Linked DNA regions of Sus scrofa. The main gene of each other region encodes a partner of the protein of the gene in region 3 in a complex. Links are inferred from orthologs where the notes say so. Each region holds a gene or a part of one and is shown on either strand. Other genes may lie near its edges. The genes, in order: SNAP25, CPLX1 and VAMP2.

Region 1 (6,485 bases), on a different chromosome or scaffold from region 3:
TCAGTGCCTAAACCTAAAGTCATGGCGTGAGGGTCTTGTGATGCCCTTCACCCTTCCTCAGTGGTTATTTCAGAGGAAGTGATGAGCAAAGGAAACATACTGACAGCCATGCACCCACCTTCTCCATGATCCTGTCGATCTGGCGGTTCTGTGTATCGATCTCATTGCCCATATCCAGGGCCATGTGACGGAGGTTTCCAATGATGCCGCTCACCTGCTCCAGGTTTTCATCCATTTCATTTTCTCGGGCATCATTTGTTACCCTGGGTATCAAAGAGCAGTTTTTAGAAGATAAAAGAAACTCAAATACCAAGGAGTCAAAGATGAGGGTAAATCTATAGACCTCTAGGTATCAACCCTATACTTTCTGAATCTCCGTTCAACACAGGAACACATTTTAGCTTTTGTACATTACAAGGTACTTTTAAAAATTGCATATTGATAAATTTCTACTTTTATTTTTTATTTTTATTTTTTTTGCTTCTTAGGGCTGCACCCACAGCCTATGGAGGTTCCCAGGCCAGGGGTCGAATCAGAGCTGCAGCTGCTGGCCTACACACAGCCACAGCAACGCAGGATCTGAGCCACATCTTCGACCTACACCACAGACCATGGCAACGCTGGATCCTTAACTCATTGAGTGAGGCCAGGGATTGAACCTGCGTCCTCATGGATCCTAGTCGGGTTCGTTAACCACTGAGCCACAAAGGAAACTCCTAAATTTCTACTTTTAAAGAAGGCATATTAAATAGATTAATTTACCTACTTTTCTAACTTCCACCAACACATCATCATTTCCTCCCTTCATATGTTTATCCCAATTTTCATTTTTTTTTTTTTAAGGGTAAAATCATTTTAGCTGGGAGGATTCTGGGTCAGAGAATGAAGATGGAACTAGTTAGAAACTGTATTTTTCTTTCTGAGATGTCAATCAAAATCTACAAGGGTCAAATTTAGAATGAAAGAGAAAGCTATTGAACTAAGTCACAGAATTTCTCCACCCATCTCCTTCTCCATTTGGGACCAATATCAAAGGGAAGAGGAATGTGAATTATAGTCTGCCCCTTAATCCTTTTTGCTCCCAAGAACTCCAAAGGGAGCTTTTTGTCAAGGTGGTTTTATTTGCTCAGATTTCAATGCTATGGGATTTTTGGTGGCACTGTGAATGGATGATCTCAAAGAAGAAGACTGGGACAGAAAATTACTGTTTCAGTTTAAGTGGGGAGGAAGGACTTGGCTCTCATTTTTTTCATAGTCCAGCTTGAAAGTTAAGAAGTAACTCTTTTTAGGAGTTCCCATCGTGTCGAAGTGGAAAAAATCCGGCTAGGAACCACGAGTTTTCGGGTTCCTTGCTCAGTAGGTTAAGGATCTGGTGTTGCCGTGAGCTGTGGTGTAGGTCATAGACATGGCTTGGATTCTGCATTGCTGTGCCTGTGCCATAGGTCAGCAGCTGTAGCTCCAATTGGCCCCCTAGCCTGGGAACCTCCATATGCCATGGGTGCGGCCCTAAAAAGCAAAAACAACAACAACAACAAAAAACCCTACCAAAAAACATTTTTCTACCACAGATGCTGATGGGCTAAAATATGTTTGGAAGGGTTAACATCCTTCCCCCATGGTAAATCCCAATGCAGATTGTTTCTCTAAGGTTTTAAAACCATTTAAATCCAGATAAAATTAAAAGGGAACTTTCTAGATCTCTTATGTAGAAAAAAAGAAGCTTATTTAAATGATCATCAGCAGCTGAGACATACTTCTAATTCCATGGTCCTCAGCCCTCTTTGCATTTCAGAATTACCTGAGCAGCTTTAAAACTACTGATATCCATGTCTCATTTCTAGAGATTCTGATTCACTGGGTTTGGATTAAGCCCAGGCACTGATACTTTTAAAAAATTGCACAGTTATTCTAATATGCAGTTAGGTTTGAGGACCCCTGGTCTAGTTTCCCTGGGAGCAGACAGAAACATGAATAGAATTGTCATCTGTGAAGTTCTGGGTAGACATCTGGACATTTATACATAAAGAGCAGTGACTCATCTTTTGAATCTGGGTATATAGATGGTTGATCAAACAGCTACCCTAGTTACTGCTGAGTCCTAGGGTAGTAACCTGCAAAAAAGAATAACTTTTCCCTTTTTTTTTTTTGGCAACAGGACTATTTGTTATTATTATTATTTTCTGATCTCTTGGGAGCTGAGTTTTAAATCAGCAGATGTGTGATTTGAGATTTTTAAATAGAGGTTAAATTAGCTTTTGTTTCCAGATCTCATAGGACCTGCTTAAGAAGTCAGGTCTCCTCATTATTCTCTGTGTGTACCCCTTGATCTGTTCTCTGGCTCAGAGGCTGACCTCTCTACAACCCTATCACCCAGGTTCTCTTATTTTGACTTTCTGTGGCCTCTGGCCAATGGCCATTGAGGGACCGGAGGGCAAGAGGCTGAGGGGTTGGGGCACTTATTTCCCTTTCTTGTTTCCTGCTGGGTCTACAGTTGCTGAATCTCAACATATAGCCCCTGCCCACAGATGTAATTCCTCTTGGCTTCTGGTGATAGATTGCTCCTGGCCAGTTAGGACCCTTCCTGGCTATTGCTAGTTCCTAAGTGCTTCACCGTTCCTTGTTATTGACACTGCCCACACCTCTGTAAACAATCTCTTTAGTAACTTCTGTCCAACTGAACTCATGAAATGAGACACCTCCTTACTACTGCGCTGGTGTTGGATGTGGTCATGTGACTTGGTTTGTCTCACGAAACGTGGGCAAAGGTTTGATAAATCCTGTGCATCAGAGTCTACTGCTGAGGTTGTTGCCCCCACCATGCAAGAAACCTGGGCTTTACTGTTGGAGAGGCCACGGAGAGGAAAAGAGAGGCCCTCAGTGACAGCCCCAGCCGACCACCAGATAAACAATAAGGCCATCTTGGATCATCCTACACCCAGTTATATATAATGAGTGAGCCCAGGAGAGGCTCTCGGAAGAACTGCTCAGCCAACGAAAAGATTCAGAGAGTTCTCTGCGGCACAGTGGGTTAAGGATCTGGTGTTGTAACTGCAGCAGCTTGAGTTACTGCTGTGGCTCAACTTCAGTCTCTGGCTCGGGAACTTCCACATGCCTTGGGTGTGGCAAAAAAAAAAAAATTCGGAAGTAATAAAAGTGAGAGTTCCCGCCATGGCTCAGCAGAAGTGAATCTGACTAGAAACCATGAGGTAGTGGGTTCAATCCCTGGCCTCGATCACTGGGTTGGGGATCCAGCGTTGCCATGAGCTGTGGTATAGGTCGAAGATGTGGTTCAGATCTGACGTTTCTGTGCCTGTCGTGTAGGCAGGCGGCTACACCTCCAGTTCAACCCCTCGGCTGGGAACCTCCGTATGCCACAGGTGGGGCCCTAAAAAGCAAAAAAAAAAAAAAGTAATAAAATGATTGTTTTAAGAACCACTCAGTTTGAGGTGGTTTGTCCCTAAAAAGTAGATAACTGACCTCATACCAGTCAGAATGGCCATCATCAAAAAGTCTACAAACAATAAATGCTGAAGAGGGTGTGGAGAAAAGGGAACACTCCTACCCTGTTGGTGGGCATATAAGTTGGTACCACCATTATGGATAACAGTATGGAGGATCCTTAAAGTAAATATAGAATTACTAGAGTTCCTGCTGTGGCTCAGCAGTAACAAACCCAATAAGGACTTGGGTTCAATCCTTAGCCTCACTCAGTGGGTTAAGGATCTGACATGAGTTGTGGTGTAGGCCACAGACACAGCTCCAATCTTGCATTGCTGTGGCTGTGGTGTAGGTGGGAAGCTGTAGCTCCAACCAGACCACTAGTCTGGGAACTTCCATATGCTGCATGTGTGGTCCCAAAAAGCAAAAAAATAAAAATAAAAATAAATAAATAAAAAATAAATATAGAACTACCATGTGATCCAGCAATCTCACTCCTGGACATATATTTGGAGAATACCATATTTCAAAAATATACATGCACTCCAATGTTCATGGCAGTACTATTTATAATAGCCAAGACATGGAAGCAACCTAAGTGTCCATCAACAAAGAATTAGATAAAGAAGATGTAGTACATATGTACAATGGAATATTACTCAGCCAAAAAAAAGAATGAAAGAATGCCATTTGCATCCCCATGGATGGACCTAGAGATGATCATACTAAGTGAAGCAAGTGAGACAAAGAAAGAGAAATATCACATGAGATCATTAATACATGGTATCTAATAAAAACAGTACAAAAGAACGTATTCATAAAACAGAAACAGACCCAAAGATTTCAAAACCAAACTTATGGTTACCAAAAGGGAAATGCTATGGGGAGGGATGAACTGGGAGGTTGGGAGTGGCATGTACACACTATTATTTATAAAATTGGTAAGTAACAAAGACCTACTGTATAGCACAAGGGAATGTACCCAATACTCTGTAATTACCTATATGGGAAAAGAACCTGAAAAAGAATGGATATATGTATACGTAGAACTGATTCACTTTACTGTATAACTGAAGGTAACATAACACCACAAGTCAACTATACTCCATTAAAATTTTGAAAAATCAGGTAATTGTTATAATGCTGGCTGCACTAGGCTCACCTGCGGATGAAGCCACCACTGATGGCCATCTGCTCCCGTTCGTCCACCACACGAGCAGGCTGGCTGGCCACAACTCCATCCTGATTATTGCCCCAGGCTTTTTTGTAAGCATCACTTGATTTAAGCCTATGCAAAAAAGAGGGTGAGTGACCAGCAAAGGGGGTGGAGCATCAAGCTCACAACAATGGTTCCCTCTTCAAGCTAAGAATCGAACCAAGCAAATGAGTTTTAATTTGAGGCATCAGAGAATACCGATATATCATAATCCGGACCCAAACAGTTGGCCACCACCATGCCTCAGCTACTCAGGATTTTCATTTCCAATCAAGTCAACTGCAATTGTCAAGATGGCAAACTTTGCCCATAGGTTGTTCTTTGTTTTGGTTTGTTTTTGTTGGATTTAAGACAAGATTTAAGGTAGCTGGAGGACATTCAGTTCTATTTCAATGACAAGGTTCTATTTTGAGACACAAAACACACAGAAGAAACATACTGGCAGACAGACACAAAACAAGACTGCCAAGTAGAGTGTGTACATCACACCACAGCAACGCACTGGCATCAAAAAAAACATACTGGACCAAGTTTTTACACACCATCATGCAAAGATTCCCTGTTTTAATTTTTTTTCCCTCAAGGCATTTGTGGAACCAAGCATTCCCACTCTGCATGGAGCACATAAAGGACTGGTGGTTGGCCAAGGGTGATGGTCTTTGAGTTGCCTCTAGAGTGATTTGAATTAGATAATATATCGGTACTTCCAAACAGTCACCATACATCCAGAGTCGATGTACAAACCTTTGTCCACAGAGACAAAAAGTAAAAGAGGCGTAGTGAAATGAATGCAGGAAAATAGAAGAGAGAACAAGCCATCTAGCACCAAAAAAAGGGAAATCCCTCTACATCTTCTTCATGCACCAGCTACAGGCATGAGTAGAAAGTGAAGCATTCTCATTTAAGCCAAACTACTCCAGAAGTTGATCATTCTCAAAAAGGCACTAGCAGGACAGTAATAGCCTTCATGAAGATTTGAAACGCAGGTTCAATAGCTTCTTTGTTGGGCAGCGGGGCAGGCTGGGAGTGGTTACAAACTCCTACTTAAACTATGCTGGGGTCAGGTAGGGGAAGAGTAGTCTGGAAAGGGTGTGGTCTCCGTGGGCCATATTTCACTGAGCTGCCTTGGAGAGAGACTTAAAATCCAGGCATACCTGTTGTGCCCAATAGAAACATGTGCAGCATATTTTGGTGGGTGTGTTGTAATTGTGCCATCAAAGATGTTTTTAGGTTCTTTGCATAGTAGAAACCACACGCTTTTTAGTCCAAGAACAGAACTTTCTTTGGTCCCATTTTCACATTTTCTATGATAAGGCACCAGAATTTAGCTTCTTTCTTTCTTTTTTCTTTTACTGGAGGACCATAGCCATCTATTAAAACTGGCTCTACCACTAATATTTGCAGACTGGGGACCAAGCAACCCTGGAGACAAATTGGAAAACTGTCCAAATGAAATTTCAGCGACTCCCATAATCTGATGTATCATGAATGCCACAACCCCTGCAGCAGTCCAAATTCGCTGCTAAGAGCCAGGAGCCCACTTAGTGGGACAAAATCCAAAAACGAATTTAATAGAGTTTAAAGTCTGGTTCCCCCTTCCTCCAAATCCCCATCCCCTCCCTCCTCATATTAGAAGAAGTTACCTGGACCTTGTGATGCTTTCTGCTATGTAAAATGTCTGGTATACCATCTTTGGCAGAGTCAAGGGGGTTGGGGAGGTTTGCGTTTCTGAACGAAGGCGAATCACTGCACCCACAATGCTGCACATAGACTCACATAAGTGCTGGACATCTACCATAGTCCTTCGAAACATGCAGAGACAGGGCGAAGC
Region 2 (6,585 bases), on a different chromosome or scaffold from region 3:
ACCGCATCATTCTGTTCCCGGTGTTAGAGTATTAAGCTTGCATGTGAAGTTTCTGGTGAGTGCAGTGTGTGCGCGCCAGAGCTTGTCCTGTGCTTCCTGCGGGGCCTGCGGCCCTCTTGCCAGGGCTGAAGGACAACCTGGAGGAACCCTGAGTGTCCTGGGGCACAGGAGCGGCTTCGGGAGACAGCAGGCACCAGGCCTCCCTGGAGGAAGTGGAGGGCCATCAGATGGGGGCTTGCCGCGGGGCTGGGGGAGGGGGCGGCTGGAGCAAGGCGGCAGCCTCCCCTCTCTGCCATCTGGAGTGACCCCATGGAGGCTACCGGGGGGGCCTCCGGGGGGGGTGGTCTCAGACCATGCGGCCTTGGCTTTAGCAAAACCCCGCCTTGGGTCAGGGGTTCCTGGCTGTCAGGGCCACTTTCTGGATTTTTCGCATACGCAGGGCACTGAGCTAGGGGCTCTGTCCCTGTCCTGCCAGCTGGCCCGGGCCCCGGAGTTTGGCTCTGGCCAAACACACGCGCCCCAAAACTGACTGCTTGGTTGGAACCCCTCCCCATCTCTCCAGCTCCGTGCACCCTCCTCCTGCCTGGCCTGGCCTCTGGCCACCCCCCGACGGCCCACAGGTGTGCCCCCACCACCATCCTGGGTCTCCAGCCCCGTGGATCCTGATGGGTGCCCTTGGCTGTTACAGATGTTTTCTGCTCAGCTCCTGCCTCGGGAGGACCCGTCCAGGACCCAGGCCCTCTTTGGGGCACTCACAGGGCCATGAGTGCCTCCTGGGATGTGGCCCTGAGGCTGGGTCGCCTCCGGAGCCCATGTGGCCATTGGGCCCATCCGTCCTCACCTTCTGCCCAGAGCCCCTGCCCCCACCCCCCGCCCCTAGTCCTGACTCCACAACTGCCTGGCCTCCCTGGCCTGGGACTGTGGCCAACCTTGTCTATTTCACATGGGAGCCCCCCACCTCCCCACCCCCCGCCCCAGCCCGGGGCCTGGATGTCTGAGGAGGGCAGCTGTGTGTGCAGTGGGTCTAAGAGGAGTAGCAACAGACCAAGACAGACAGAGATGGAGGGAGACAGAGGAAGAGCCAGAGAGACAGAAGGACAGAGACAGAGGAACAGACAGATACATGGATAGAGAGGGAAGGAGAGATACACAGAGACGGAGACAGAGCTGGCGACTTCAAACCTGACCTCTGAATGGTGACCCCAGAGGGAGGGAGAGGGAGGGAAGGAGAGACAGGGCTAGAAGGTCAGGCAGCAGGACCAGCAGAAGGGCCTCTGGCTTCTGGGCCCCAGGGGTGTGTGGAGTTCAGCCAGGCCTGGGCCACGGGATCGGCGGGGGGGGGGGGGGGGGTGGAACCTGTGCTCACGGACACCTGCACTCCCCTCTCCTGCCCATACGAAGCCCCACACCCAGCCTGGCAGCCCCAAGGTCAGTGGCGTGTCTCCCTGCCTTGAACGGGCCACTGGGGTCATTGGTCATGGGGCTGCCCTGGACTCAGCTGGGGTCACCTCAGGGGCCTCTGCGGGGTTACCATCAGGAGGTCAGCTGTGGGTCAGTCCTCAGGTCCACCTAGTGGCGGGGGGCCTCTAGTGGGGAAAGTGACGTGCCCCTTTCCTGGACCCACACTCTCCCTCTGGCATCCACACCCAAGTTCTCAGGACACCAAAGGCCCAGGCTGGGCAGAGCCTGTGGGCTCAGGCTGGACCCTCAAGACCCTCAGACACATGCAAACAGGCGGCCGCTCCCATCCGTCCTCAGACCTGCAGAAGCCCTGGGGCTTTGGCCCACCTCCCCCGAAGGGTGGGGATAGAGGTGCAATGGAGGCACTCCTCACACCCCTGGGTCAGCCAGGGTGTGTCCCAGGGCCCCAGCTTCTGAGCTGCCCCACCCACCCTCCTGGCACTTCCTCACCCCGATCTAGGTGACAGGAGCCATCAGCAGGAGGAATGGATAGAGTGCTGGGGAGGCTGCAGATGCAGAGTGCAGCGTGCCGCTGCCCCCCCGCACAAAGCAGTGCTGGCCTGTGCCGCCCTGCCTGCACCTGCTGGGCACAGCGGGCGGGGGTGGGAGCTGGGAGCCCAGGTGCCAAGCAGACGCGGGGCGGGGGGAGAGCACCCCCCCGGGAGCCCCCCCCCCCCCGCAGGCACGTCCTCCAGCGTTCAGGCTGTGAGTCCTGGGGAGGGGCCTGAGCAGGGGTCTCCTGGGGTTGGGGGTCTCCAGGAGCTGCCCCTGCCCCCACAGGCCCAGGAGCCCTGATGACTCAGCTGGGAGGGATGGGGAAAGCGCAGGGCCACCAGGGGTGTCCACCTGCTGACCAGGAGGCCAGCAGAGACCCCAGACCCCTGCCGAACCGTGGGCCCCTCCCACAACAGTCTTCCTACCCCGAGAGCAGCGGCGGGACCGGAGGCCCAGCCGCCGACCTTGCAGCGACCCCGCTCTCCCCGCAGCGCAGCTTCCGCCGCAGAGGAAATCCCGGAGGCCCGGGGAGGGGGCGGCCCCGCGGGGGCGGGGCTGCGGGGACAGCGAGCGCCACAGCCAGTCCGCAGTGACCTTGGCGCGTCCCCGCCTCGCTTGGGGCCCTGGGCGGAGGGGCGGAGGGGGCGGAGGAGGCGGGGGTCTCTCGGACCCTGTCCCACTGAAATGAAACGGCGGGGCTCTTTCGTTGCGACTCTGTTACACAGAAAAATAGGTCCGGGCCGGTGTGCAGACTGCTCCTCGCTAACGGTTGTGTGGGTTTTCAGGGCCTGGGGGCTCCCTTCTCCTGCCCAGCGGTGCCGGAGGCCCTAGAGCGGCGCGGGTCCGGGACCCCGACAGCGACCGCCGTCGCCGCCGTCGCCAGGGAACTCCTTCGCGAGCGCGCGGGGGCAGAAAGGGAGACCGCGGGAAACGGCGCCCCCGACCCGCGGCCGGACTGGAAAGGACTTTTCCCAGGGGAGTCGCGCGCGTACCCGTCCGCCCGCTGGGTGCCCCTCACGGGCGGAGGCGTTGGGTGTGCGGGGCCCTGTCCGCGGGGGGAGGGCAGCCCCCGGGACCCACGCGCAAGGGGATCGGATGGCGCGGGCTGGGGGTCGTATCCGGGATTCCGAACTAATGGGTGGGCCGGGGTCGTGCGCGCCGGCTCGGAGAGACAGCGCCCCAAGACCCGCGAATCCGGCCAGGGAGCCGGGTTTGGGAGCGGGGGTGGGGGGCGGCTCCGCCCCCCGCCCCGCGGGCGCCCGCCCCGCGCCGCTGCCCCGCCCTCCTCGTCACGCTCGGACGCGGGCGGGGGGCGGGGAGCGCCTCCATGTGACGCGCCCTCCTCGCGGTGCCCTTCAGCTGCCGCCGCAGTTCCCGGCGCGCCACATGGAACCGGCCGGCCCGAGCGCGCTCTGCCGCTGACCGCCCGCCAGCCCGCCCGCGCTGCGGCCCCGGGAAGGTAACCGGCGTCCCCGCGCGCAGCCCCCTCCCCGGCCCTGCGGCCCCCTCCGCGGCCCAGGCTGGGCGCGCACTGAGCCCCTGGCGGGCGCTGTCCGCAGACGCGGTGCTGAAGCGGCTCCAGGGTCCCGGCCCTCCTTCCTGCTCCTTGGCCCGCATCTCCTGCCGCTCGAATCTCCCCTTCCCCTCGCTCGTCCTCTCTCTCTCTCTCTCTCTCTCTCTCTCTCTCTCTCTCTCTTTTCCCTATGTTCTGGCGCGCTCCCGCCTGAGGGCTGCTTGGCTGAGCTGGGCAGCTCGATCTCCTGCAAAGCCAAGGGGTACGGCGGCCGCGGGAGCTCCGAACCGCGCGGGGCGGCGGTGGGAGGGCTGCGGAAGCTCCAGCGGCACCTGGTCTCTCTGTGTCTGGGCCTGAGGCTTCCTCTTCCCCCCCTAGTCCTCCACCCCACCCCGCCACCAGAAGCCAGGGGAGAAGTTTGGAAGAGAATCTGTGTTGCGGCAAGGGCGCCCCTGCGCGCGAGCGCTTTGCGAACAGGCAGGGGCACTCCCGCCCCCTGCCCCCTCCGCAGCCCGCACACTCGCGGATCTCCTTCGTCTGAAGGGGAAAAAAACGCAAATAGCGCATCTCCAGGGACCTGGGTTTCCCTGCCAGGAGCGACCTCACAAGGGGGGAGGGGACACACCGCAGCTGCAGGTTTTATAGGAAGCACCTCCCACCAGACCTCCAGCTGGCCTGGACCCTGGAGAGCCCCATCCACGCAAGTGCATGTGGAGGGATGGACTGCCCCCCCCCCATTTTATTTGTTTCCTGAAGGCTGGGCCCCCTGCAGTTTCTCCTTTCCACCTCAGTCTCTGCTGTGGGCTGGTGGCCTTGGGTGCCGGCCTCTCCCCTGGATGGTACCTGGTCTCCGAAGACTCTTTCCTTGGGAACCAAAGGGAGCGCCCACTCAGGTCTCAACCTTTAGATGGACCCAGGGTTCCACCAAGGAGGCAGCAGAGCCAGTCACCTCCAAACGCCCCTGGGCCTGCCCCACTTGGCGCAGGCTGGTTCCTCTGAGCTGCACCCCCCTCCCTGCATTCGCAGCCAGAAGCTGGCATCAGAAACCCCAAGGCCAGGGGAGACTATTTTGCAGGGGCCTCGGGTGCCCGTCCCAGTGCTGTGGTCTGGCCTTGAGGTGTGGGGGAACCATGAATGATGCTCTCTCAGACCCCAGACCCATGCCCAGGGAAGCCGGGCAGGTGCGAGGAAGAAGTCCTCCCCCGCCCTGTCGGAGGATGACTTGTGCCCACGTCCTCTCCCCAGGCAGAGGACTTCTGGCCACACTCGAATGTGAGCTACGGCCCTCCAAGGAGCCACTGAGGACTCAAAGCCATCGCCATGGAGTTCGTGATGAAACAGGCCCTGGGAGGTAGGAGGGGCCGCTGCATCCCCAGCAGCAGGCGGACACGCGGGGTTGAGCACAAATGTCACATGACACCCAAAGCACACTGCAGGCCCCTCCGGACAGAGTGGGGGAGGCAGGGACCAAAGGCAGCCCCTCCCGAAGCACCTTGGCCAGCTTTGGGGCGGGGGGTATGCACACCTAGTACCAGGATGTGCAGAGCTGAAGCACCTCCACCCCGCCTTGGGAGGACACCCCACGGTAGGTTGAGGGGAACGGGGGCCAGTCTGGCCAGAGCCGGTGGCCCCCACAAGGACATTGCTTCTGGTGAGCAGAGCTGCAAGAGGCTGCAGGGTGGCTACGGCCACTGGAGTGCGGGTAAGGAGCAGAGATGGGCTGGTGGCATCCAGCAAGGGCTTCATGGTGTCACCGGGGTGGGGCCAGCAGTGTGTACAGGGAGCCGGGGCTGGCTGAGCTCAGGGACAAGAGAAGAGGCCCCGGGTAACTCGTGTGCCCTCCCCCATGGAGCAGTGCAGCCTCTTGTGTGTGCTGGGGGAAGGGAGCCCTTCCGGCCCTGCCGACTGCTTTTGAAAGGAATCCTGTACCTGCTTGGCTGGAGGCCATCTCCACGGCCAGAGACCCTGGCCTGGTGGGGAGGTGGTAAACGCAGTGGGCCGGGACCCAGGCCCAGGAGGTGGGCAGGGCAGCGGGCCGAGGTCCACACTGGTACAGATGCAACCCAGGCCTGACTCTGCGGTTAGAGATGTCTTCTTTGGGTGATGGCACCAGCCTTGGACCTCACGTGGTCTCTGTGGGCCACGCCCTGACCCAGTGCCTTTCACAGCCTGGCATGAGCCAGGTGAAGCATGACAAGGCCACTCCTTGGCAGGAGGGACTGAGCGCTCCTCACCAGAGACGGGGTGCCGTGGGCGCTGTCACGCTAGGCGCAAGGGGCAGGGTCGAGGGCCAGTGGCACAGAGCCCAGACAGGGGCCCCGCGTGTGGCTTCTCTTGGAAAGTGGCGGCATTTCCACTCAACATGAATTAACCGAAGAGACTGAGCCTGGCCCAGGGCCACCCTTCCTGAGATTTTGTGGTCAAGGATAGGCTGCAGGTTGAGTCTAATTATAATGATGACGTCACTGGGACGTGATTCAGGGACGGGCCGCATCCTGGCAGCAGGAGGGATCCGAGTTCCACCCAGCCAGTCCCAGGCTGTTACAGATAATTAATTAGGTGGCTAATTCAGGCCTGAGGTGGGCTTGTAGGAAAACTGAAATATCTGATTTGGCTGTCTACATGGCTGGAATTAGCAGGGTAATTGCCAGCCTGGATTCCCTTTGTTCTGTGTCAGCCCAAAGTTTCTCCTTCGATGGCGATGGGGAGGGCTTCACCAGCCACTTGGGAGCCTGGGCGTGGAGGGGTGCAGCCAGCCAGGCACCTCCAGGCAGCCCCTCCCTGGTGCCCCGGGCCCAGCGTGCCCCCTGCCCGCACCCCGTCCTCACCCCAGTGCTGCTGGGGGCGGGGGCTGCTCCGCGTGAGACTGAGTTTTCTCTCCCCCAGCGGGCGTCATTTTGGTGTCTCGGGATGAGTGTGGGTGAGAGGCAGACAGACGGAGACCGGGAGACGGTGCCGAGAGAGACAGAGCAGAGCCGCAGACACAGAGGCAGGACAGACCCGGGACGCTGTCCAGAGACAGGCGGGCCCAGGGGAGACACAGCCAGACACAGACCAAGAAGGGGAAGGCAGTGCCGTGGACCCTGGACGCAGAGATGTGGAGAAACAGGCCTGGA
Region 3 (6,585 bases):
CAGATCCAACACCCTTCCCACTGGTTAGGAAAAGATCTTAAACCACCACCTGGTTACTCATTACACATTTATTGTACATTTTCACAATCTGGATGCGCCACAGAATTGGGGGCATGGGGTGAGGGAAGGCGGGGCAGGGGACACTGGGATAATAAGGGGGTCTAGAACACAGCACCCCCACCCCCAGCATCTTTCCCTACCCTTTCACAACACAGCTTTGATCTCCCTGCTCCCCCTCCACACAGAAACCTTTGAGTGTGGGGGGAAGAGTTTAGGCGGTCCCTTCCAGTGGCAGGTTAAGGGACTGCACCCTCAGACCCCCAAAATTGTGCCATTAAAAAAGACGTTACATCCTTCCTTATCATTTCACCTAAGGAGGAGACAGCTCTCTCTGGGCTCCACCACCCTGGAGAGGGGAAAGAATCACCACCTTCCGGCAAGTCCCACACACACATTGGCAGTGACTAAAACCCCTGCCCCGAATTCAGGGGGGCAATCAGAGGAGCTGATAGGGCAACACCCCCCAAATGGGTGAGGAGGGCTTTCAGTCAAACCCCCAGCAGGGGTGGGGCCAGAGATTTCAGGCAGGAATTGGGAGGATTCTTTGCCCTGCCCCACTCCTCCCCAAGGCAGTGATGACCCCACACACACAGGTAGCCACCTCTCCCAAGAAAAATCAGATTGTGGCCAACCCCCAACTCTCCTGCTGGGAGGAGGAGGAGGCGGGTCAGGCAGATGGGAGGGAGGGAGACCCCATGGGAATGTCAATTGAGCACCCCACTTGAAAACTGGGGAGCAGGAATGTGGGGAGAGACTCCAAGTGGCAGAATTATTGGTCCATCATAACACACTGAACTCCAAGACACGTACACACCAGCTGGGGGGAGGGGAAGGAGGGACAAGAGGTTTGGAAAATCGGGGAAGGGGAGGCAAACTGGACTGGAGGGGCTCGGAGAGGGCAATTCTGGGGGCCAGAACAGCCTGACACCCCCAATGCCCAGGCTCCCTACCACCTGCAAGTAATGTCATGCAAATGAAAAGTGTGATACAAGGACCAGACCAATAGGGACTAACTCCTCAGTAAAAAAGAAACACAAGTTGAAAGAATGAACAGAAGCCTGATGGAGAAAAAAAGGAAACCAAAAGGGATGTCAGTATGCAAATGATGCTAATTAACATGCTGGAAGCTCCCAGAAGACCTTGGGATTCTTAGGACCAAAAGGGACCAGTCTCAGAGCCTCCCAATGATGCAAAGAAGATGCACCTAGGGAGTCCTGGACAGCTGCTTTTCTTTTTTTTTTTTTTGTCGGGGGGTGGGGTGGGGTGAGGGGGTGTATGGGGAAGACCAGGGCGGGAGGAAGGATCAGCTAAATCCAAGGGAAGGAGGGGAGGAAGAGGGACTATTGCATAGCAGATGCAAATGAAGGGAGTTGGGGCCGGTGAGGAAGAGAGGGAAAGGAGAGGAGAGGAGGGGCAAAAGGAGGCGATGGGAACCTCAGGAAGGGGTGTTAAGGACAACCGGAAAAATCTTCTAGTAATAAAACTACAAACAGACCAAATATATATAATATTATATATGTATAAATAACAGCTGGCTATTTACAAGGGGGCACACACACGACACACACACGCGGATCCCGGGGGAGGAGGGGGCTGGAAGATATGGCTGAGAGGTGGAGGAGCGGCTGGGGATGGGGGGGAGAGGCCCTTCTCTGGGCAGGGCAGGCTCCTCAGGGGTTTAAGAGCTGAAGTAAACTGCAGAGAGGGAAAGAGAAGGAAGAAGAGGGGAGAAAGAAAGAGAAAGAGAGAAAGCAGCGTGTCAGGCCCGGCCCTGCTCCCACCTTCCCCACCTCCCAGCTGGCTGACCGTCCCTTCCCCTCCTGGTCTCAGATCCTCCATCTGTAAAGCAAGGAAGCTGCACAGGTCAGCTTCAAGGTCTCCTCAACGTCACGGTATGGCTTTGGGGCCACAGACCCCGAATCCTCGGAGCCTCTGAGACCACAGCTCTCAACCAATAGGGTGGTTGGCTTCCTAGCCATTTCTCAAGCCCCTGAGTCTTCGCTGCTCCCCCACACCCCAATTCCAGGGTTCCCATACTGGACAAACCCAAAGGGTCCTCAAGGGAGCAGTGGAGATCTCCACCGGCTTTCCGGTTTCCAAAAATCTTACCAGAAATTGCCCAGAACCAGGCAAAGTACAAGCTCAACAACATTGAGGTTTGGGGTGCTAGATGAATCAGAACTGCTATTGGCAGCTCTGTGTGCTCTTTGCTGAATAGTAAAAACGAGGTTAATGACCTTCAAAACCCAGACGTCAGGGGGGAAACCTCTCCAACAAAGGGGCCCGGCCACTCCCGCCCGACTCACCAATGATGATGATGAGGATGATGGCGCAAATCACTCCCAAGATGATCATCATCTGGGGGCGAGAAGGGCCGGTCAGGGAGACAGGCGGGGACACTCCCGGCCACCCACCACTCCTCCGGCCTCCACCCTTACCTTGAGGTTTTTCCACCAATATTTGCGCTTGAGCTTGGCTGCACTTGTTTCAAACTGGGAGGCCCCCGCCTGGAGTGCGTCGGCGCGGTCGTCCAGTTCCGACAGCTTCTGGTCCCGCTCCAGGACCTTGTCCACGTTCACCCTCATAATGTCCACCACCTGCGGGAAGGGCGCGGGGATGGGGGGGGGAGACCCATCTCAAAGGGCTCTCCTCAGCCAGGAGCCCACGTACGAGACATGCACCCTAGGGCTGTCTGGCTGACATGCAACAACATATGCGGAGCATGCCCAGCACACCTGGGGACATGCAAGGAGCACACGTCAGAGGCATGCTGGTGGCCAGACATCTCATATCACAGCAGCACCCTCTATTTACCGAGCCTCAAGCAGCCTGCGGGTCACGAGAGCACACCCGCCCAGGGTGAAACGGCGCAGGCCAGCAAGGCTAACACCCCACGGCCCTCCCAATTACACGACGTCAGGAACGCGGCTTGGTATGTTTTTGTCTCCGAACGCGAAAACGTGAACTGCCATCACCCTCAACCCACGATGGACCCCCAGACCGCTTTGCCATCCTCAGGGTCGTTCCCACTGCCTCTGCCCCCCCCACAACTCACCTCATCCACCTGGGCCTGGGTCTGCTGCAGTCTCCTGTTACTGGTGAGGTTTGGAGGGGGCGCGGGGGGGCCTCCCTCCCCAGCTGGGGCGGCGGGGGGTGCGGTCGCAGCGGTTGCCGACCTGAGGGGCACCGACGGATTAAGATCCAGGCCCTGGAGCCCTCGGCCCCGCAGCGAGGGCTCCGCCCATCCGTCTGTCCATCCATCCGTGCCCCCCTTCCTCCTTCTCGGGAGGAGAGCCACCCGAAGGGAGCCATGGCCTTCGCCCGGCCCCGCGGGCAAGCGGCCGCGTGACCTTGAGGGAGGCCCCCTCCCCCCTCCGGGCCTCAGTTTCCCCGCCTGTCAAATGAGGGCGACCTCACAGCCACGGTCGGGGGGACCCGCAATGAAAGGCGGCAGCGATGACAGGGGCGGGGCGGGCGGACCCTGCGTCTGCTCCCTCCGGCGCCAGCGCCCGCGCGGCCGGCCGGGGACCCGGGGCTCTCCGGCTGCCCGCGCGCCGTCACGGGCGCCGGCCTGGCCTCCGGGCGCGCGGGGGGCGCGGGCTGGACCCCGAGCCCTTCCCAGGCTCGGACGCAGGGGCGGCGGCCGGCGCGGGCAGCCGGGGCGGGCGCAGGCGGCCGACTCACATGGCGGGGGCAGCGGGCGGAGGACTTGGCAGCAGCAGGGGTGGCGGTGGCGGCGGCGGCGGCTCGCGCTGGCTCCGACTGGCGCTGGCTGCCCGGGACGGGAAGATGGCGGCCGCACGTCACCCACATCCGGGCACTGCGGGCGGGGGCGGGGCGCCGCGGGCCACTCGGCGGCAGCCGGGCCGCGGGGGCGGGGCGTGGGGGCGGGGCGCGGGGAGCGCAGCCCGCCCGCGGCGGGGCCCGCGAGGCGGGGCCCCCGGCCTCTCCCTCCACGGCCCGAGCCTGGGGGCCGCGGCCTACCCACACCCATGGCCCGGCCCTGATGGCACCCCTCGGCCCCAAACACCTCCTCCGTGAGACCCGTCCGCACCCCACCCCGACCCAGGTCTCAGCCCGCCCCCACGGTCCCAACGCCTGTTGACCGGTCTTCGGCATTTCAGATACGGGCGGGAGATGGGAAATCAGAAGGGTCACGTGCAGGTTCCGGGGCGATGCAGACAGGCGAGACCCCGCGGCTGAGGTGGAGTGGTGGCAGCTGGTCCCCAAAGCTTGCCCGCAGGTGGAGATCTCAAAGGAGGTCTGGGACAAGGAACTCTCTCCTCACAGCTGGGGTTCAGACCAGGGGTCCTTGGCAGCCTGGGCCTGACCGACAAGAGGCAAGCTTAGGGGCCTAGGAGGAAGGCAAGAGGCTGCCCCGTGGCGCTGCTTCAGGTGCGCCTGCAGACTGGCCCAAACCTGGCTCTGACCCAGAGTTGGATCAGCTACCCTGCAGCGGGAGGGCTCAGCCTCTGACCCCAGGCGAAAGGACAGAACTTTAGCTTTTACGTTTTGTTTTTTCCCTGGGGGGGCAGGACAGTAAGGAGGCAAAGGCAGTCCCTGCCTCCTGGGAGTGACCTTGGATAGCCCTTTGCCTGTCTCTGGACCCCAAATAGATTACATACTAGACACTACAGGGGTATTTGTTAAATGGCTTGATCCGGGACATGGTAGGAGATTATCCCCGGCCCCTTCCATCCCTGACTTGTCTCTGTTTAGATCCTCCAAACAGACCCAGCAGTTCACACACCCCCTCTGCTCATTCTCAGCAGGACTGGTCCCCTCAGAGAGGACAGGCTGAGAACAGGTGAGCTGCCTGTCCTGTGGGGTAGGTCAGATCAGCCTAAAGAGTAAAGAAGGTGGTACCTTGGGGGGGGGGTGGCTAGTGGCCCTGGAGCGAGGGTGCTCACTGCAACCCTGGAAGTGGGCAGAGGGGGCTGGTGGCCTTGGTCTCTGAGACAAACAGGAGCTGGCTTCCTCCCTCCCCCACCCAGGCCTCCCAGGGCCTCCGGGTGTGACAACCTCCCCCATGCAGCACCCCACCCCCTCCCAGCAGAAGCCTGGGCCAGGCTCTGTCACCAGAGGTGTCATTTCCCAGCTGTGTGGGGGAGGTGAGTGAACAGGGAGTGTGTGCGGGGTGCGGGGACTCAGCAGATCTAAGATGCGATGCTCTCAGCTTCTCCCCCTCCTGGGCGCTGCCACTGCCCTGGTCCCATGCACTCACACACACACACACACACACACACACACACACACAGTGTCTGGGTGGCTCAGTCAATGTGAAAAGGAAGAAAAGAACAGCTTCCCTGAGGGTCCTAGATGACGCTGCAGGGGGCTAGCTCTTGCTTTTTGGCCCTGAGACTACTCTGCTTTCTAGCTAGAGAACAAAAATGCCAGATTCCAGGCTTTTAAGTTCAAAAGCTGTGGTGTCTGTGTCTAAGACAGATTAAGGTTGGAAGGAGATACAAAGAGGCTGGACTTCCCACCGCCACCCTGTCCCAACACCCTAAGCTGGCAGGGGGCAACCAGTGGAGGACCAAACAAGATGTTAGACAGGGGGTTAGGAGTGATCCCCATTCCTGGATGGTCAAGTCCAGGGGACGTGCAAGGGACAGAACCTGGGATAAATTGGAGGAGCTAAGGCCATGGGGTGTGGCTTGGAAAGCTGGCACATTGCTGTTGCCCTCAGAGTCTGGGGGCGGCAGCAGCAGAATCGAGATGGGAGCATGGAGTTCTCTTGTGGCACAGTGGGTTAAGGATCCTTGGGTCGCTGCTGTGGCATGGGTTCAGTGCCCACCCTGGGTGAGGCTGTGTATGATCCATGGAGGCGGAGTCTCAGGAGGATTTATCTTGAAGACAGGACTCTCATTGAGCAGCCCTCTCCACCCACCCCACCTTTGCTGGTGTGCTAAGGAACTCCCCAAATTTTGATGAGTGCTGGAGGCAGGAGAAGAGGAGGGATGGGGAGACCCAGTTCACCTGGAAATGACTAAGAGAATGTTTTCTGCAGGCAGATAGAGTGGAGACCCAAAACAGAGGTAAACGGAACTAAAGAAAGAGAATGCATCTGCAGAGTTCCCGACGTGGTGCAGCAGAAACGAATCCGACTAGCATCCATGAGGACTTGGGTTGATTCCTGGCTTCATTTGGTGGGTTAAGGATCTGGCATTGCCGTGAGCCGCCACGTGGAGCCCAGACGTGGCTCGGATCCCATGTTGCTATGGCTGCAGTGTCGGCCGGCAGCTGCAGCTCCGATTCAAGCCCTCGTCAAGGGTTGGCAGCCAGTTCTCTGGGCGCCACTGTCAAGGCTCCTTCCAAAGATGTGGGAGGAAGTCCAAGTTCACTTCTAATGAGGACCTCCAGGAATTCTGCTGTAGATGACATGGAGGAAACCTTTCATGAAGTTTAATAGTTTTCCTTTATTGTTTTTTCCTCTTCTAACAACTGACTGTAGGTTGGGGTGGAAGGGGGCTGGGTCATTGCCACGGTGACTCATGAAGCTGCTCCATCCACATGGGTCAAAAC

Evidence for each region.
Region 1: the proteins of VAMP2 (region 3) and SNAP25 are in contact, whole or in part, in a crystal structure (PDB 1SFC), measured with the Rattus norvegicus proteins. The link is inferred for Sus scrofa from reciprocal best matches to the Homo sapiens genes VAMP2 and SNAP25. Residues at the interface, in NP_036795.1 of Rattus norvegicus: Asn25, Thr27, Ser28, Asn29, Arg30, Arg31, Leu32, Thr35, Gln38, Val39, Glu41, Val42, Ile45, Met46, Asn49, Lys52, Val53, Glu55, Arg56, Lys59, Leu60, Glu62, Leu63, Arg66, Ala69, Leu70, Gly73, Ala74, Gln76, Phe77; in NP_112253.1 of Rattus norvegicus: Gly131, Gly132, Phe133, Ile134, Arg135, Arg136, Asn139, Leu150, Glu151, Ser154, Ile157, Gly158, Leu160, Arg161, Ala164, Leu165, Met167, Gly168, Ile171, Asp172, Gln174, Asn175, Ile178, Asp179, Ile181, Met182, Ala185, Asp186, Asn188, Lys189.
Region 2: the proteins of VAMP2 (region 3) and CPLX1 are in contact, whole or in part, in a crystal structure (PDB 1KIL), measured with the Rattus norvegicus proteins. The link is inferred for Sus scrofa from reciprocal best matches to the Homo sapiens genes VAMP2 and CPLX1. Residues at the interface, in NP_036795.1 of Rattus norvegicus: Arg47, Val50, Asp51, Leu54, Asp57, Gln58, Ser61, Asp64, Asp65, Asp68, Ala69, Gln76; in NP_074055.1 of Rattus norvegicus: Leu41, Arg48, Tyr52, Glu56, Arg59, Glu60, Met62, Arg63, Ile66, Arg67, Tyr70, Gly71, Ile72.

Annotation. Positions count from the first base shown.
Region 1 is NC_010459.5:19,213,202-19,219,686, reverse strand, and holds part of SNAP25 (synaptosomal-associated protein 25), read right to left. Parts: intron 4,727-6,485; coding exon 4,601-4,726; intron 264-4,600; coding exon 119-263; intron 1-118.
Region 2 is NC_010450.4:227,947-234,531, reverse strand, and holds the start of CPLX1 (complexin-1), read left to right. Parts: upstream 1-2,810; 5' UTR 2,811-2,931; intron 2,932-3,258; exon of another isoform or gene 3,259-3,415; intron 3,416-4,714; 5' UTR 4,715-4,789; coding exon 4,790-4,820; intron 4,821-6,585. UniProt on the Homo sapiens protein: Positively regulates a late step in exocytosis of various cytoplasmic vesicles, such as synaptic vesicles and other secretory vesicles.
Region 3 is NC_010454.4:53,378,357-53,384,941, forward strand, and holds VAMP2 (vesicle-associated membrane protein 2), read right to left. Parts: upstream 3,888-6,585; 5' UTR 3,747-3,887; coding exon 3,745-3,746; intron 3,237-3,744; coding exon 3,116-3,236; intron 2,658-3,115; coding exon 2,499-2,657; intron 2,419-2,498; coding exon 2,367-2,418; intron 1,756-2,366; coding exon 1,739-1,755; 3' UTR 51-1,738; downstream 1-50. UniProt on the Homo sapiens protein: Involved in the targeting and/or fusion of transport vesicles to their target membrane. Major SNARE protein of synaptic vesicles which mediates fusion of synaptic vesicles to release neurotransmitters.